2 linked regions of the Oryctolagus cuniculus genome follow. The protein of the gene in region 1 interacts with the protein of each later gene in a biochemical or structural test. Links are inferred from orthologs where the notes say so. Each region holds a gene or a part of one and is shown on either strand. Other genes may lie near its edges.

Region 1 (7,605 bases):
CAGTGGCAGAAAAGATGACCCAGTCCAGGCTTACCCGGAACCAGAAGGCAAAACCCAAAAACGCGGTTGGAACGGGCCTTGCACACCACGGCACAGTGGGAAAACCCCAGGCTGCAAACACAGCCCCCAGGGGAGGCGCTACAGCGTCTACGCGAGTGCACCCACATTTCTGGACTCAACATAGCCCGCCAGGCTCACTCACAGCCCTGCTGGGCTCACGGGGACTCACAGCGCCTCAAGCGCAGGACAGTTCAACACAAACAGGCGAGCCCCAGGTGGCGCCAGGGGCCCGGCCAGGGTCGGCGATATGGAGGGGAGCCCGGCCCCACCCCACCACCCATCCTGTGGCTTCCGGCACATCCTACGGTGGTTGTTGTCTTCTTTAGAGATTTTCATGTATTTATTTGAAAGTCAGAATTACGGGGAGAGGGAGAGGGGGAGAGGGGGAGAAGGGGAGAGGGGGAGAGGGGGAGAGAAGGAGAGAGAGGGGGGGAGAGAGAGGGAGAGAGAGACCCCTTCCATCTGCTGGTTCACTCCCGACAGCTCAACTGCCGGTGCTGGACCAGGCCGGAGCCAGGAGCCGGGAGCTTCATCCAGGCCCAGCTGGGGGCCAGGGCCCAAATACGGGGGCCATTTTACGTTGAATTCTCCAGGGCCAGCAGCAGGGAGCTAGCTTGGAAGTGGGGCAGCAGGAACATGAACGGTACCCACACGGGACGCCGGCACCACAGGTGGCGGCTTTACCCGCTTTGCTGCAATACTGGCCCCATTCCAGGGCCCCGAAAGGACAGCGGCCACCCAGAACCGTGGGCGCGTCCTCGCTGTCCCTGTCACCTGCCCGGGCACCCGCTCACCTCTGCTGATGCGCTGCTTCTCTCCGGACAGGATGCCGGGGGTGTCGATGATGCTGATGCTGTCTAGCACCGGGTTGGGCAGCTGGGCACACATGAACCTACGCGAGACAAGGTGGGAGACCGCGGTCAGCAGCGAGCTGGGCTGCTCTCCTCACCCCTGCATCTCCACTTCCGCTTCCCTTCCAGAAGGGGCCTGCGGGAGCCTCTCCACCGTCTTCACGTGCAGGCTGGCCGGCAAGCGGCCCTCAAACTGACCCCATCAGCACTTCCCGCGCAGCCGCCCGACCCCAGAGTTCGAGAGTTCAGCTTCCAAGTTGCTGAGTCGCCCGTGCACACTGCGTGCGCCGGGGTCACCATTCCGCTCAGAAGGAAACAGAAGGGTGACTCGGGGCCCTGGGCGTCCCGCGCTGAAATCTGCAACCACCCGAGGCGTCCTCTTCCTGCTGGGGCCACCCGCCGGGCTGGGGGCCGCGCAGGAAGTGCAGCCAACCACTCTGCCCAGAACGACGCGTGACGGGCTGACGGCTCACTCCAAGGGCTCAGCCACGCCAGAACGAGCCTGCGCCCGGCACAGCCCTCCCTCGACGCCCAAGCTCCTTCCAAGGCCTCTCTGACAGAGGTGCCACGAGCAAAGCAGCAAGCGACCCCCAGGCTGGGGGCGGCTGGAGCCCAGAGCCCAGCCAGCTGCCCACCGGCGGGAGCGCGCCTCGGCCCGCGCCCTCCCTGGGCCAGCAGCCGGGCACCCAGGCCTGGGGGTCAGCGAGGGAGGGAGTCGCTGGACAGAGGCCACCGAAGGGAGGGCTCTGGAAAACTGGCCCGAGAGCAGCGCATGTCCAAGTGCCCTGGCCGCCAGCCAGGCAAGCGAGGGAACATCTGCAGGACCCGTGTGGAGCGCAGGGCGCAGGGCCCAAGAGGAGCCAAGAGGAGCCACGCTGACCCCGCGCACAGTGGGCAGGCCTGGCCATGCAGCGGGGAGTTCTCACGATACCCTCAGGGTGCCCTGATGCAGGCCCTGCTCCTGAGGGCGGCCCCTGGGTGGGGGCCGAGTGAGGCGGTGACCGGCTGGGACATGGGGACCCCGAGAGTGAGGTGGTGACCGGCTGGGACATGGGGACCCCGAGAGTGAGGTGGTGACCGGCTGGGACACGGGGACCCCCCCGAGAGTGAGGTGGTGACCGGCTGGGACATGGGGACCCCGAGAGTGAGGGTGGTGACCGGCTGGGACATGGGGGACCCCGAGAGTGAGGTGGTGACCAGCTGGGACATGGGGGCCCCCAAGAGTGAGGTGGTGACCGGCTGGGACAGGCTGCCTCAGCCAGACAAGTCCCCTTTGTTGTCCCCACTAGCGAGGCCGCTGCTCCGTGCCTCCCTCGGACCAGGCCCGCCGGCATCCGGGGACTTTCTGGAGAAGGCAGAGTGTGGTTCTGGGATCTGGGGGCCAGGCAGGTGGGGGCTGCTGAGAGGACAGAGACCCTGCCGGCCCCGAATGAAGACCACGGGCAGCAGGGGAGGGACGGCTTCCCCACAGGCCGCGCACACGGGGACCCAGCGTCCCACCAGGGCAGCCAAACTTTTCCCGGGGCCCAACAGCTGGAGCCCACGGCGGCCGACAGACAGGCGCGGTCCAGCCGAGGCCCAAGGGTCCTGGGAGCCTTAGCCCAAAGGGCTTTTCTTCCCGCTGACCTTAGCACTCACAGGCCATCAGCCACAAACCAGCCTGAGATGCCCGGAGGCCCAAAGAGCCGTATTAAGTGTCAGCACCGGGCCCGGAGGAGCCTGGGCCGGGCTGTGGGGCCAGCTGGTCCGCCCCGCGCAGGCTGGACAGTGTCTGCACAGGAATGCGGCGTGTAGGGTGGGGACGGGGCAGGCCTCAGCGCCCATTCCTCAGCTCCCCAGCCCCGGAGTCGTCCTGGAATGGGGGGAGGGGCGGGTCTGGCTCCTCTGGTATGTCCCTGGGGGGGTGGCCTGGGCGGTGCACGCCCTGGGGGAGGCCAGTGCCTCTCATTCCCAGGGCCCTCACCCCCTGGACGTGGGCTGAGATCCAAGCAGCGTAAGGAGCTTCGGGGGTCGCCTTCCAGGCCACCAGGCCACTGCCCCGAGCTGTTTCCCCCCACAGCGACCCCTTAGGAAGGGCGCTGGGGAGCCCCGCTCCAACACCAAGGGGCTGCCCATGCCACCCGCACAAAGCCGCGGGGGCCCGGGGAGGCAGCGCTGGGGGTGTCAGCCCCGCCGCGCCAAGTTTGCACGACCCCCGAAGGGAGGGAGGGGGCGGGCTGGCTCGGAATGAATTAAGCGCGTCAGGTCCGGGGCGGGGGGCCGTGGAGACCCGAGAGCGGCCAGGAGCACTGCCCCCGGCGCTGGGCGAAGAGGGGCTGGGGTCTGCCCAAGGCCTTGGAATTTGAGGGTCCGGAGGCGCGGGGAGCCGGCGACGCCCCCTCCCGGGCTGCCCGAGGCGTCTTCCCCGGGCCGGGCCCTGCCCCGAGGGTCTCCAGGGGGCCTCGCAGACAAAGGACGGCGGGGTCACGGCCCGGGAGGGGGCGGGTGGGGTCGGCCGCACCTGTTGAGGAAGGCGTTCCCGAAGGCGTTGAGCTTGCGGAAGGGGCGCCGCGGGTCCACGACGAGCGCGTTGCCCGGCACCACGCCCTCGCTGGGCCCGTGCATGACCGCGATGAACGAGTCGGTGGTGGGCTCGGGCCCGATGCGCATCCCCGGGAAGTCCTGCTCGATCAGGTGCCGGATGAAGGTGGTCTTGCCCGTGCTGTACTGGCCCACGAGCAGCACCATGGGCTTGTTGTCGAAGTCCGCGTCCTCCAGCGCGGGCGAGTGGAACTCGTGGAAGCGGTAGTGCTCCTCCAGCGGCAGCAGCTTCTGCGCGTACAGCTGCCGCAGGCCCTCGGCCACCGTCTGGAACAGCTCCGGCTCCTTCTTGCGCCGCGCATCCTTGCTGACCCAGCTGAACATGCTGCCGGACACGGTGCTGGCGGCGGCTGCGGGGCGGAGAGCGGCTGAGAGCCGGCGCGGAGGGCGCGGGGCCGACGAGGGGCCGGGCCGGCCGGCGGCGGGCAGCGGGCGGGAGCGGCCCGCACTGCGCAGGCGCACGGCGCGGCTCGCGGAGGCGCCCTCTGCCGAGTGGAGCGCGCGCCCGGCCGGGCGCCCTTTATAGGGCCGGGCGCGGCGTGCGGGTGCCCGCGCCGCCGCCGCGGGGTGGGGGCAGCGCGGCCTCGGGAGCGGGAGGGAGGAGCCCCTCCGGGCCCCGCCCCCAGCCCCGTGCCACGTCCTCCCCTCCCCCGCCTGCTATTGGCTGAGTCCAAATCTCGCGAGCTTCTGGCCGGGGCGCCGTGGCAACCGCACCTGTTTCGCCCCGCCCCTCGCGGGGCGGCTCGCGGAAGTGCTGCGGTTGGAAAGGCGGGAACTGAGGGGTCGGCGTTCGAGGTGTTACCCGCCTTGCGAGCACCCGTGCGCCCCCGCCCCCGCCACAGGGCTCCGCGAGACACCCAGTTAGACGCCCGGGAGCCCGGACAGTGCGCCTCATCCGGTTCCCCTCAGAACCGTCCTCCCGCCGCCTGCGGCCCTCGGGAGCCCGCGGCCCGCTCACTCTGATCGCCCCGGGACCGGGAGAGGCAGGAGAGGGGCGGAGGAAGCCGAGCGTCCGAAAGAGCGGGCGGGCGTCCGGGGGCGCCCACGGGCCGTGCGGGCACCGTGGCAGGGCACGAGGCGATAAAACGGAAGCCGAGGCCCTCCGGCCACGAGCGTTTAAGGAAGTGAAATCGGAAATTCCCCGCGTGCGGGGGCAACAACGCAGCCTGTGGGAACTTAGGGGAAATTCAAAAGCCCAAGTACTTCCGCTTTCTCCTGCGGAGCACGGCCGGCGACCCCCCGGGCCCCGGGCCCCTTACCGGTCCCCGGCTCTTCCATCGGCTCAGGCCCCCGCCATCCTCCCTGGCCGCGCCTCGGCCTCCTGGGGCCGCTGAGAACCCTCCCGGGTGACGTCAGAGCCCGGGCACCGCGATTGTTAGGTAACCAGGTCTGGACACCTGCAAGAGGGGACCTGGGGGCCTCCGACCCTCCCGGGGGACCACGCAGGAAGCCGAGGGGGGCGGAGCCCGGCGGGGGAGGTTTGCTGGCCTCTGCCTTTGCGGGACTGAGTGCCCGCTGGACAACAGATGGGCGTTCCTGGAATCAGGTCCGGGCCACAGTAACACTCTGGGGGGGGTGCGGGGGGGGGGTGCTGTTCTCAAAAGAGGACATTGAGGCTCCCAGGCGGGGCCGGCACCGGAGGCCGTGCCAGCTGCTGACCAGGAGCCCCCGGCAGGCCCAGTCCGGACTTCCTGGGGCGGCCTTAGAAGCCAAAGGATATGCGGCCGCCGCCCAGGGCCCCGGCCCACCCCGGAGATGCCGTTTCTGGGCTGGTGCAGGGAGAGCCCGGGGCAGGGATCCTCAATGGGGCGGTTGTTCGCAGGCCTGGACCAGGCCGGGCTGGGCTTGTCCCCCCCCCCCCCCCCGCAGTGCTGTCATTGACCAGCCGTGGCTGTCAGGTCCCCAGAGCCCTGTGTGCTGGGAAGCCCGGCCCCAGAAACGTGGAAACAGAATGTTCCTGGGTTATTTATAAATGGAGCTGGGACCCTGTCGTTGGGCACGGCCGCTTGGCGCTCTCCAAGGACCCGTCTGGCTGCTGGGGCTTGGTGGGCCGGGGGCCAGCCCCCCGCCTGTGGCATCAAGCGTGCGCCCAGGCCTTGGGCTGAGAGACGGTCCCCGTGTTCGGTCTTGTCTTCTCTGTGCGTGTTTGTGGGAAAGTTTTAATGCGAGTGAACTAATTTCACTTTTGGTTTCCCTGCTGTTTCACTCTCTGCCTGGGCCTGGGGCAGATGGAGGGAGGGTCCAGATATTTCCGTCTCTGAAACCATCCCCACCTCTGGCCCGCGCGGCTTCCTCTTCCGTCCACAAACACCTGCACCCCGGCGGGGGGGTGGGCCCTGGGCCAGCAGGGCGGGGGTCCGGCTGCCTCGCAGGGGTCTCCTTCATCCCGTCCCAGCCTGAAAAGTCTTCAAGGTCCCGAAAGGCAACTTCAGAGCCACAGCAACAAAATGGAGCCTCCAGATGCGGCAGACGGGGCGGGCCGAAGAGCCGAAAGCTCACAAGTTTCTCGCTGGGGCTGGGGGGGGGGGGGGGCAGTGCGCGTAAGCGGTTTTGCTGTTGCCATCAGGAGAAGGCCTGGCCAGCAGGTCGGGTTTGACACAAGCCAATGGAGAACTGGGGGGCTCCCTTCCTTTGTGTGGGTGTCCATGGGGTGCTGGGCTCCAGGGGCCCGGCCAGGACACGGCCCAGCTTGCAGACGGTGGTGTCGCGACCTGGGCCGCTTTCAGATCCCAGGAGAGAAAGGGCTGGGGCTGGCGATGGGCAGGGACTTGCTCTGTGCACCCCAGGCTGGACGAGGGGCTGGGCCTTGAACAGGGCACGCTCCAAGCTGTGGCAGATAGGGGGCGTGGGTCAAAGGGCAGCTTGGGGGCCTGGGTTGTACATCCACCAGGGGCGGTGCCCACGGCACCAAGAGCTGTCAGCGAGGCCTCTCTGCACCTGTGGTGGACGCCAGCTGCTGATGGCCGGAGGCGGCCGCATGGCCCCGCCTCAGGCTGAGGACAGACAGGCGCGGTGGGGGTGGGGGGCTCCTTGGCAGGGTCCTGGGGGTCCCTTTCATCCTAACTGAAGCCTGGAAAGACAGATGAGGCCCCTGGGTGTGGCTGCGTGCGTGGCCATGGTCTTAGCCCTAGACTCCAGGCGGGGGTGGCGCCCGGCGGGTCATGTGTGCCCATGTTCTGCTCTGCGGCCTCCGCCTCACCATGGCCTCTCTGCACGGCTCCCTTGGGTCTGGGCTGCCTCACAGCCTGGGGCTGTGTGTCCCCCTCTGCCACTGGGACCCAGCCCAGCCCCTCACACCCACACCTCAGTGAGGGCCAGGACTCAGCCCAAGGCCACCCTCCAGGCCCCTCTGCTGACAGCCCCTCCCTTCCCTTCTCCCAGAATCCAAGTCTGCTCGGCAGCATGGAGTGGCCCTTGGGGGCTCCACGCCGCTGCCACAGACACTGGCTCTGCCAGCTGCCCCTGCGTGTCTACCCTGTGGCCTGGCCGGACAGCAGCGCCTTCTGTTGGCCTGGCCCGACTCTGTCCAGGCTCCACCTGGGAGACCCAGAAGAAGCTCCAGGCTCCTGGCACAGCCCTGGACGCTGCAGTCATTTGGGGAATGAACCAGCAGTGGAAGATCAGTCTCTCTCTCTCTCTCTCTCCCCCCCCCTTCCCTCTCTTTTTGTAACTCTTTCAAATAAATAAAAATGATCTAAAAACCCCAACGAGGTGGGGTGCGACAAGGCTTGGCGTGCGCACACACACAGAGGCCTCAGCCGGGGTGACTTACTCCCCAGGGGAACCACGCGATGGCTGGAGATGTTCCCGGCTGTGCCAACTTGGGAGTCGAGGCCAAGGCTGCTGCTAAGCAGCTGGGGTGCCCGGCGCAGCCCCACAGCCGAGAATGACCCAGCCCCAAGAGCCGGTGGGGCAGAAGTATAGAACCGCTGACACACGCACACTCACGCATGCACTCTCACACACACACATGCACACAGTCTCGCACACACACACCCTGCTGGCAGCGGAGCGTAAGGGCCCAGGGCACAGACCCCAGCGCCGTCGGTTGGGCTCAGGCCTTGCTGACTGTGTGAGCCGCAGCACCCGCCCCCGCCCCCACCCCCAGCTCCCT
Region 2 (7,121 bases), on another chromosome or scaffold:
CGGCGCCAGCCTAAAGTTATCTTTTAACTCCATGAACTTTATGAAGTACACATATTTTTATGTTTTCCTCACCAAACATCAAGAACTCAGGTTACAGGTTGGCACTGCGGTGTAGCAGGTAAAGCCACTGCCTCCAGTGCCGGCATCCCAAATGGGTACTGATTCAACTCATAGCTGCTCCACTTCCCATCCAGCTCTCTGCTCTGGCCTGGGTATAGCAGTAGAAGATGGCCTAAGTCCTCGGGCCCCTATACCCACGTGGGAGTCCCAGAAGAGCTCCTGGCTTCAGATTGGCCCAGCTCCCGCCGTTGCAGCCATTTGGAAAATGAACCAAAAGATGGGAGATTAATTCATTCTCTCTCTCTCTCTCTCTCTGTAGTTGCCTTTCAAATAAATAAATAAATCTTTAAAAAAAAAAAAAAAAGGCTCAGGTTGCATGTCGAGTCCCTGAAGACCATAAAGGCCTTTCACTGACCTTTTATATCTAAAATGGGCTCCAACAAGCACACTGAGAGTTTCATTTTTTGTTTCTATAAATTTATTTTCATCAAAGCAACATTTTTTAAATATTTATTTATTTGAAAGAGTTACACAGAGAAGGAGAGGTGGGGTAGGGGGGTCTTCCATCAACTAGTTCACTCCCCAGATGGCCGCAGTGGCTGGAGCTGCGCCGATCAGGAGCCAGGAGCTTCTTCTGGGTCTCCCACGTGGGTGCAGGGGCCCAAGCACTTGAACCATCTACTGCTTTCCCGGCCATAGCAGAGAGGTGGATCGGAAGTGGAGCAGCCAGGACTCAAACCGGCACCCATATGGGATGCTGGCGCTTCAGGCCAGAGCGCCAAACCCCTGTGCCACAGCGCCAGCCCCCGAGAGTTTTTTTTTTTTTTTTTTTAACAGGCAGAGTAGACAGAGAGAGAGACAGAGAGAAAGGTCTTCCTTTGCCGTCGGTTCACCCTCCAATGGCCACCGTGGTCAGCACGCTGTGGCCGGCACACGCGCTGATCCGAAGCCAGGAGCCAGGTGCTTTTCCTGGTCTCCCATGCAGGTGCAGGGCCCAAGCACTTGGGCCATCCTCCACTGCACTCCCTGGCCACAGCAGAGAGCTGGCCTGGAAGAGGGGCAACCGGGACAGAATCCGGCACCCTGACTGGGACTAGAACCTGGTGTCCCGGCGCCACTAGGCAGAGGATTAGCCTATTGAGCCGCGGCACTGGCTTGAGAGTTTCATTTTTAATCCTTCAGATTTCCAAGATGGTATATTCAAAACTTGTTCATGACTTTGTTTTTAGGTACCAAGAGAGAACCTCTTTAAAGAGTATTTGTGTAGTGCACGTCACTGCTAAGCCACAGGGAGAATACGGACAGCAAATGGAGAGGAAGGGGCCAGCACTGTTGCATAGTAGGCTAAGCCTCCACCTGTGGCGCTGGCATCCTGTGTGGGTGCTGGTTCATGTCCTGGCTACTCTGCTTTCAGTCCAACTCTCTGCTTATAACCTGGGAAAGCAATGGGAGATGGCCCAAGTGCTTGGGCCCCTACAACCCAGTGGGAGACCCAGAAGAAGCTCCTGGCCTCAGATCAGCTCAGCTCCAGCCGTTGCAGCCATTTGGAGAGTGACCCAGCCAGATGGAAGTGCTCACTCTCTCTCTAACTATGCCTTTCAAATTAATAATATAAATCTTTTAAGCAAAAAATGATGACGTGCCCTTCACAGGTGACAGCGTCTGCCCCGACATGTGCTTCGCATTTATGGAGTACCCACATGTGGTTCTCATGGGCCAGGGAGAACTACCAGAAGGATAACTGCCACGTGTCTTTCCTAGGAGCTCGTCCGTCAGCGAGGAGTCTTAGAACGCACGGAGAAGATGGTGGACAAGATGGACCAAGATTTGAAGACCAGCCAGAAGCACATCAACAGCATTAAGAGCATGTTCGGGGGCCTTGTCAATTACTTCAAATCCAAACCCGCAGAGGCGGCCCCTGAACAGAATGGCACCGGCACCCCCCAGCCCAACAGCAGGTGAGTGTAGCAGAAGTGGGCTTTGGCGTGAACGGAAGACTTCCAGGCCTTGGCCGAGCCATGAGGGGATTCAGGAAGCCTGTAAGTTATACTTCAGGAGGGTTTTGTGTTAACCCATCTTCCCACGCCTGATTATATGTATTTGATTGGCACCTAGTCTGCAGATTGTGCATAAGTTGGGTTTCCAGTAAATTCCTGCTATACTGATTGTCACCCCAGTACTGAGAGTGTTCACCTCAGAAAGTTAGATCAGGCTGTAAGGGACTCCCTACACAATATCTGTACTTTATTTTTTTAAAAGATTTATTTTATTTATTTAACAGACAGAATTACAGAGAGAGGTAGAGACAGATAGAGAGGTCTTCCATTCGCTGGTTCACTCCCCAGATGGCCACAATGGTCAGAGGTGTGCCAATCCAAAGCCAGGAGCCAGGAGCTTCTTCTGGGTCTCCCACGTGGATTCAGGGACCCAAGCACTTGGGCCATCTTGTACTGCTATCCCAGGCTGTAGCAGAGAGCTGGATCAGAAAAGGAGCAGCCAAGACTAGAACTGGCGCACATGTGGGATGCCGGTGCTTCAGGCCAGGGCTTTAACCCGCTATACTGCAGAGCTGGCCCCAGCAGTATCTGTACTTTAAAAAGTCATTTTTCCCACCCAGGTGTTCTACATATAATTCAATTTGCCCATTGCTTTTCACTTTTTTATTTATTTTCATTTACTTAAAAGATACAGGGGCAGACACTGTGGCACAGCAGGATAAAGCCCCAGACTGCAGCACTGGCATCCCATATGGGCACTGGTTCAAATCCTGACTGCTCCACTTCCAATCCAACTCCCTGCTAATGTGCCTGGGAAAGCAGTAGAAGACGGCCCAAGTCCTTGGGCCCCTGTAGCCACGTGGGAGACCCGAAAGAAGCTCCTGGCTTCGGATTTGCTCAGCTCCAGGCATTGAAGCCATTTGGGAAGTGAACCAGCAGATGAAAATTTCTCTCTGTCTCTCCATAACTCTCTTTCAAATGAATAAAAACAAATATTTTAAAAAATAATACAAAAGGCATAGAGGGATTTTTCCATCCACTGGGTTACTCCCCAAATGCCCACAACAGCCAGGGCTAGACCATGCTGGAGCCATGAGTCAGGAATTCCATACAAATCACCCACAGAGGTGGCAGAGCAATAAGGCCTTGAGCCGTTGTCTGCTGCCACCTGGGAGCCTCAGCAGGAAGCTGGACCTGAAGCAGAGGAGCTGGTCCTCAAACCAGCACTCTGCTGTATCGGGCTGTAGTCTTCCCTGAAGCTGAGTGGGTCTGGGAAGAAAGGAATGTTGGTAAAGAGCCAGTAATGGTAGCAGAGAGAAGAGGTGGGGGAGGCTCCGGGCGTCTGGATCGGACACTGCAGGGAGGAAAGCAGGCCTCTGCAATGCCCTGGGGCTACTCCCGTAGATGCACCAGGGTTGATTTGTCTGGCTTAGGCCCAACCACCACTTCGCGCAGATTTTCCAGCTTGACCCTGATTTTAATTAATTACTTCTGAGATTTATTAATTCATTTATTTGAAAGGCAGAGTTACAAAGAGAGAAAGAGGGAGAGACAGAAGCAGAGATTTTGCATCTGCTGGTTCCCTCCCGAGATGACCATAACAGCCAGGCCTGGGGCAGATTCAAGTCACGAGCCAGGAACTTCATCTGAGTCTCCCACGTGAGTGCAGGGGCCCAATTACCTAGGCCATCTTTGCTGTTTTCCCAGGTGCTTTAGTAGGGAGCTGGATCAGAAGTGGAGGAGCCGGGACTCAAACCAGCACTCATAAGCGATGTCAGCATCACAGGTGACAGCCCTACCTGCTATGCTGCAATGCCGGCCCCGACCCTAACTTTAAATCCCTGTCACTCTTTCTCATAACAGAATTGGGTTTTCCTTTGGCTGCTTTTTTTTTTTTTTTTTTTTTTTTTTTGACAGGCAGAGTAGACAGTGAGAGAGAGAGACAGAGAGAAAGGTCTTCCTTTTTTGCCGTTGGTTCACCCTCCAATGGCCGCCACGGCTGGCGTGCTGCAGCCGGCGCACCGCACTGATCCGATGGCAGGAGCCAGGTACTTATCCTGGTCTCCCATGGGGTGCAGGGCCCAAGTACTTGGGCCATCCTCCACTGCACTCCCTGGCCACAGCAGAGAGCTGGCCTGGAAGAGGGGCAACCGGGACAGAATCCGGCGCCCCGACCGGGACTAGAACCCAGTGTGCCGGCGCCGCTAGGCGGAGGATTAGCCTAGTGAGCCGCGGCGCCGGCCTTCTTTGGCTGCTTTTAATTATAGATGAGTATCCCTCATCAGAAATGCTTGGGACAGAAGTGTTACAGATTTTAGTTTTTTTTGGATTTTGGAATATTTGCATAGACTTTACCAATTGAGCATTCCTAATTCCAAAATGCTCCAAGATCTAAAACTCAGCAGCGCTCAAGAAGTTTCAGATTGGGGGCAGGGCAGGAGTTGTGGCACCGCAGGTTAAGCCACACTTGGGACACCTACATCCGATGATGGAGCACCAGTTCAAGTCCTGGCTGCTCTGCTTCTGATCCAGCTCCCTGCTAATGCTCCTGGGAGGCAGCAGAGATGCAGCGAGTCAAGTACTGGAGTCTGTGCCACCCACCTGGGAGACCCACATAGAGCCTGGCTCCTGACTTCAGCCTGGCTCAGCCCTGATTGTTGGTCGTTTGAGGACTGACCCAACAGATAGAAAATCTCTTCCTCTCCCTCTGCCACTCTACCTTTGCAAATAAATAAATCAATCTTTTTCTAAAAAGGTTTAGGGTTTTGGAGCATTTAGGATTTTAGGTGTTCAGGCTAGGATGCTCAACCTGTGCCACAGGAAAGGTAGGATGTTCATTTAGTTTATTTTTTTTTTAAGATTGATTTATTTATTTGAAAGTCAGAGTTACACAGAGAGGAGAGGCAGAGAGAGAGAGATCTTCCATCCCCTGGTTCACTCCCCAAGATGGCTGCAATGGCTGGAACTGTGTGATACGGAGCCAGAAGCCAGGAGCTTCTTCTGGGTCTCCCCTGTGGGTGCAGGGGCCCAAAGACTTGGGCCGTCTTCTGCTGCTTTCCCAGGCCACAGCAGAGAGCTGGATCAGAAGTGGAGCAGCTGAGTCTCAAACTGGCGCCCATATGGGATGCGGGCACTGCAGATGGCAGCTTCACCCGCTACAGCGTCAGCCCCTCATTTAGTTTAGAATGAGACAGCCTCCCTGCACAAACCCAGGAACTGAGCAAGTCCTTGGAGGAGTAGAAAGCTGGCGAGTTGGTGATTGGACCCATCCTTGTCCCATGTGCCTCTTTACACAGGCTGCTTCCCAGGGATCTTGGAGGCCTCCACAGCCCCGAATTCTGCTACAAAAGCCTTTAAGGTTGTGAGGCTCCGACAAGGGCTGTTTTCTTTTGGGAAAACATCTCAAAACCTTGGGGCCCTCATACATTTGCAGTATTTCAGTGAGATGGGCTTCAAACGTACTCTGCCTCAGCTTCTGCCCACCAGCCAGCCCCAGTCAGCTATAGCATTCTTACTATCACCTAACAGATGCAAGAGAGCAAAGTTCTAAATGAAACAACTCCTGGTACTTAGCCATTACCCAAATGTGCATTGAATTACATCTGTTGTTGAATTTTTATCTTATATTTGAAAAGCAGAGATACAGAGATTCCAGCCACTGGTTCACTTCCCAAGTATAACAGCTGGGTCTGGGCCAAGCCAAAGCCCGGAGTCTGAAGTCAAAATGGATCTCCCACCTGGGTGGCAGGGACCCAAGTACTTGAGCCATCATCTGCCGCTCCCCAGGGTGTGCTTTAATAGGAAGCCGGAAAAAGAAGCGGAGCTGGGACTCCAATAATGGGATGTGGGCATCCCAAGCTTCGTCTCAGCTGTGCTACCAAGCACGTGACCCGAGAATCCATGCGCGTTGTAGAAGAGGCCACTGCAGTAGTGTTCCGTGTTTCTCTCCTCCTTGCATCCTGAGTGCCGCATCTGTGTCTGTGTGTGCTGGGAGTCACAGCTGCAGGAGGACAGCCTGCCGGGTGGAAGGTGTGGGGGAAGCAGACAGTCAACAAGGATACAGTAGGGGCCCTGAGGAAGGAGACGTGGTGGGGAGGACACGCTGGGGAGAGTGGCTGCAGGAGAGCCAGCAAAGAGGAGGACGCTGGATGCTTTAACAGTGTAGCAGACTGTGACACCAAAGTGTGTCCTGCAGGTTCCTGAGTCCTTCAGTTTGCAAAGGTCACTGCAATGTGTGCCCTCTTCCATAAGATGCATAAAATTGTGAGTAAAATTTTTGTGATCCTCAAAACCGTTAGTCCAGAAATACACGAGTATTTGCATTGAAAAGCTTTAAGGGGGCCGGCGCCGCGGCTCACTAGGCTAATCCTCCGCCTAGCGGCGCTGGCACACCGGGTTCTAGTCCCGGTCGGGGCGCCGGATTCTGTCCCGGTTGCCCCTCTTCCAGGCCAGCCCTCTGCTGTGGCCAGGGAGTGCAGTGGAGGATGGCCCAGGTGCTTGGGCCCTGCACCCCATGGGAGACCAGGAGAAGCACCTGGCTCCTGGCTCCTGCCATCGGATCAGCGAGGTGCGTCGGCCGCGGTGCACCGGCCGCAGCGCGCCGGCCACGGCGGCCATTGGAGGGTGAACCAACGGCAAAAGGAAGACCTTTCTCTCTGTCTCTCTCTCTCACTTCCACTCTGCCTGTCAAAAAAATAAAAATAAAAAAAATTTAAAAAAATAAAATAAAAGCTTTAAGGGGCAGGCATTTGGTCTAGTAGCTAAGACACCCACATTCCACATCCGAGTACCTGAGTTCAGTACCCACTTCTGCTCCGGCTCCTGACTCCAGGTTCCCACTGATGCAGCCCAGACCCTAGGAGGTAGCAGGTGACGCCTTAAGTTACTGGGTCCCTGCCAGTTGAGTTCTGGATCCTGGCTTCCATGCAGCTCAGCCCTAGCCATTATGGGCATTTGGGGAGTGACAGTGGATGGGACATTGTTCTGTCTCTCTAACATAATTTTTTTTTTTTTTTTGACAGGCAGAGTGGACAGTGAGAGAGAGAGAGACAGAGAGGAAGGTCT

What was found.
Region 2: the proteins of EHD1 (region 1) and SNAP29 form a complex in vitro, tested with the Homo sapiens proteins (2 studies listed by BioGRID). The link is inferred for Oryctolagus cuniculus from reciprocal best matches to the Homo sapiens genes EHD1 and SNAP29.

What each region holds. Positions count from the first base shown.
Region 1 is NC_091432.1:6,626,274-6,633,878, reverse strand, and holds the start of EHD1 (EH domain-containing protein 1), read right to left. Parts: upstream 4,903-7,605; 5' UTR 4,770-4,902; coding exon 4,751-4,769; intron 3,842-4,750; coding exon 3,412-3,841; intron 953-3,411; coding exon 855-952; intron 1-854. UniProt on the Homo sapiens protein: ATP- and membrane-binding protein that controls membrane reorganization/tubulation upon ATP hydrolysis. In vitro causes vesiculation of endocytic membranes. Acts in early endocytic membrane fusion and membrane trafficking of recycling endosomes.
Region 2 is NC_091452.1:29,625,046-29,632,166, forward strand, and holds part of SNAP29 (synaptosomal-associated protein 29), read left to right. Parts: intron 1-1,821; coding exon 1,822-2,018; intron 2,019-7,121. UniProt on the Homo sapiens protein: SNAREs, soluble N-ethylmaleimide-sensitive factor-attachment protein receptors, are essential proteins for fusion of cellular membranes.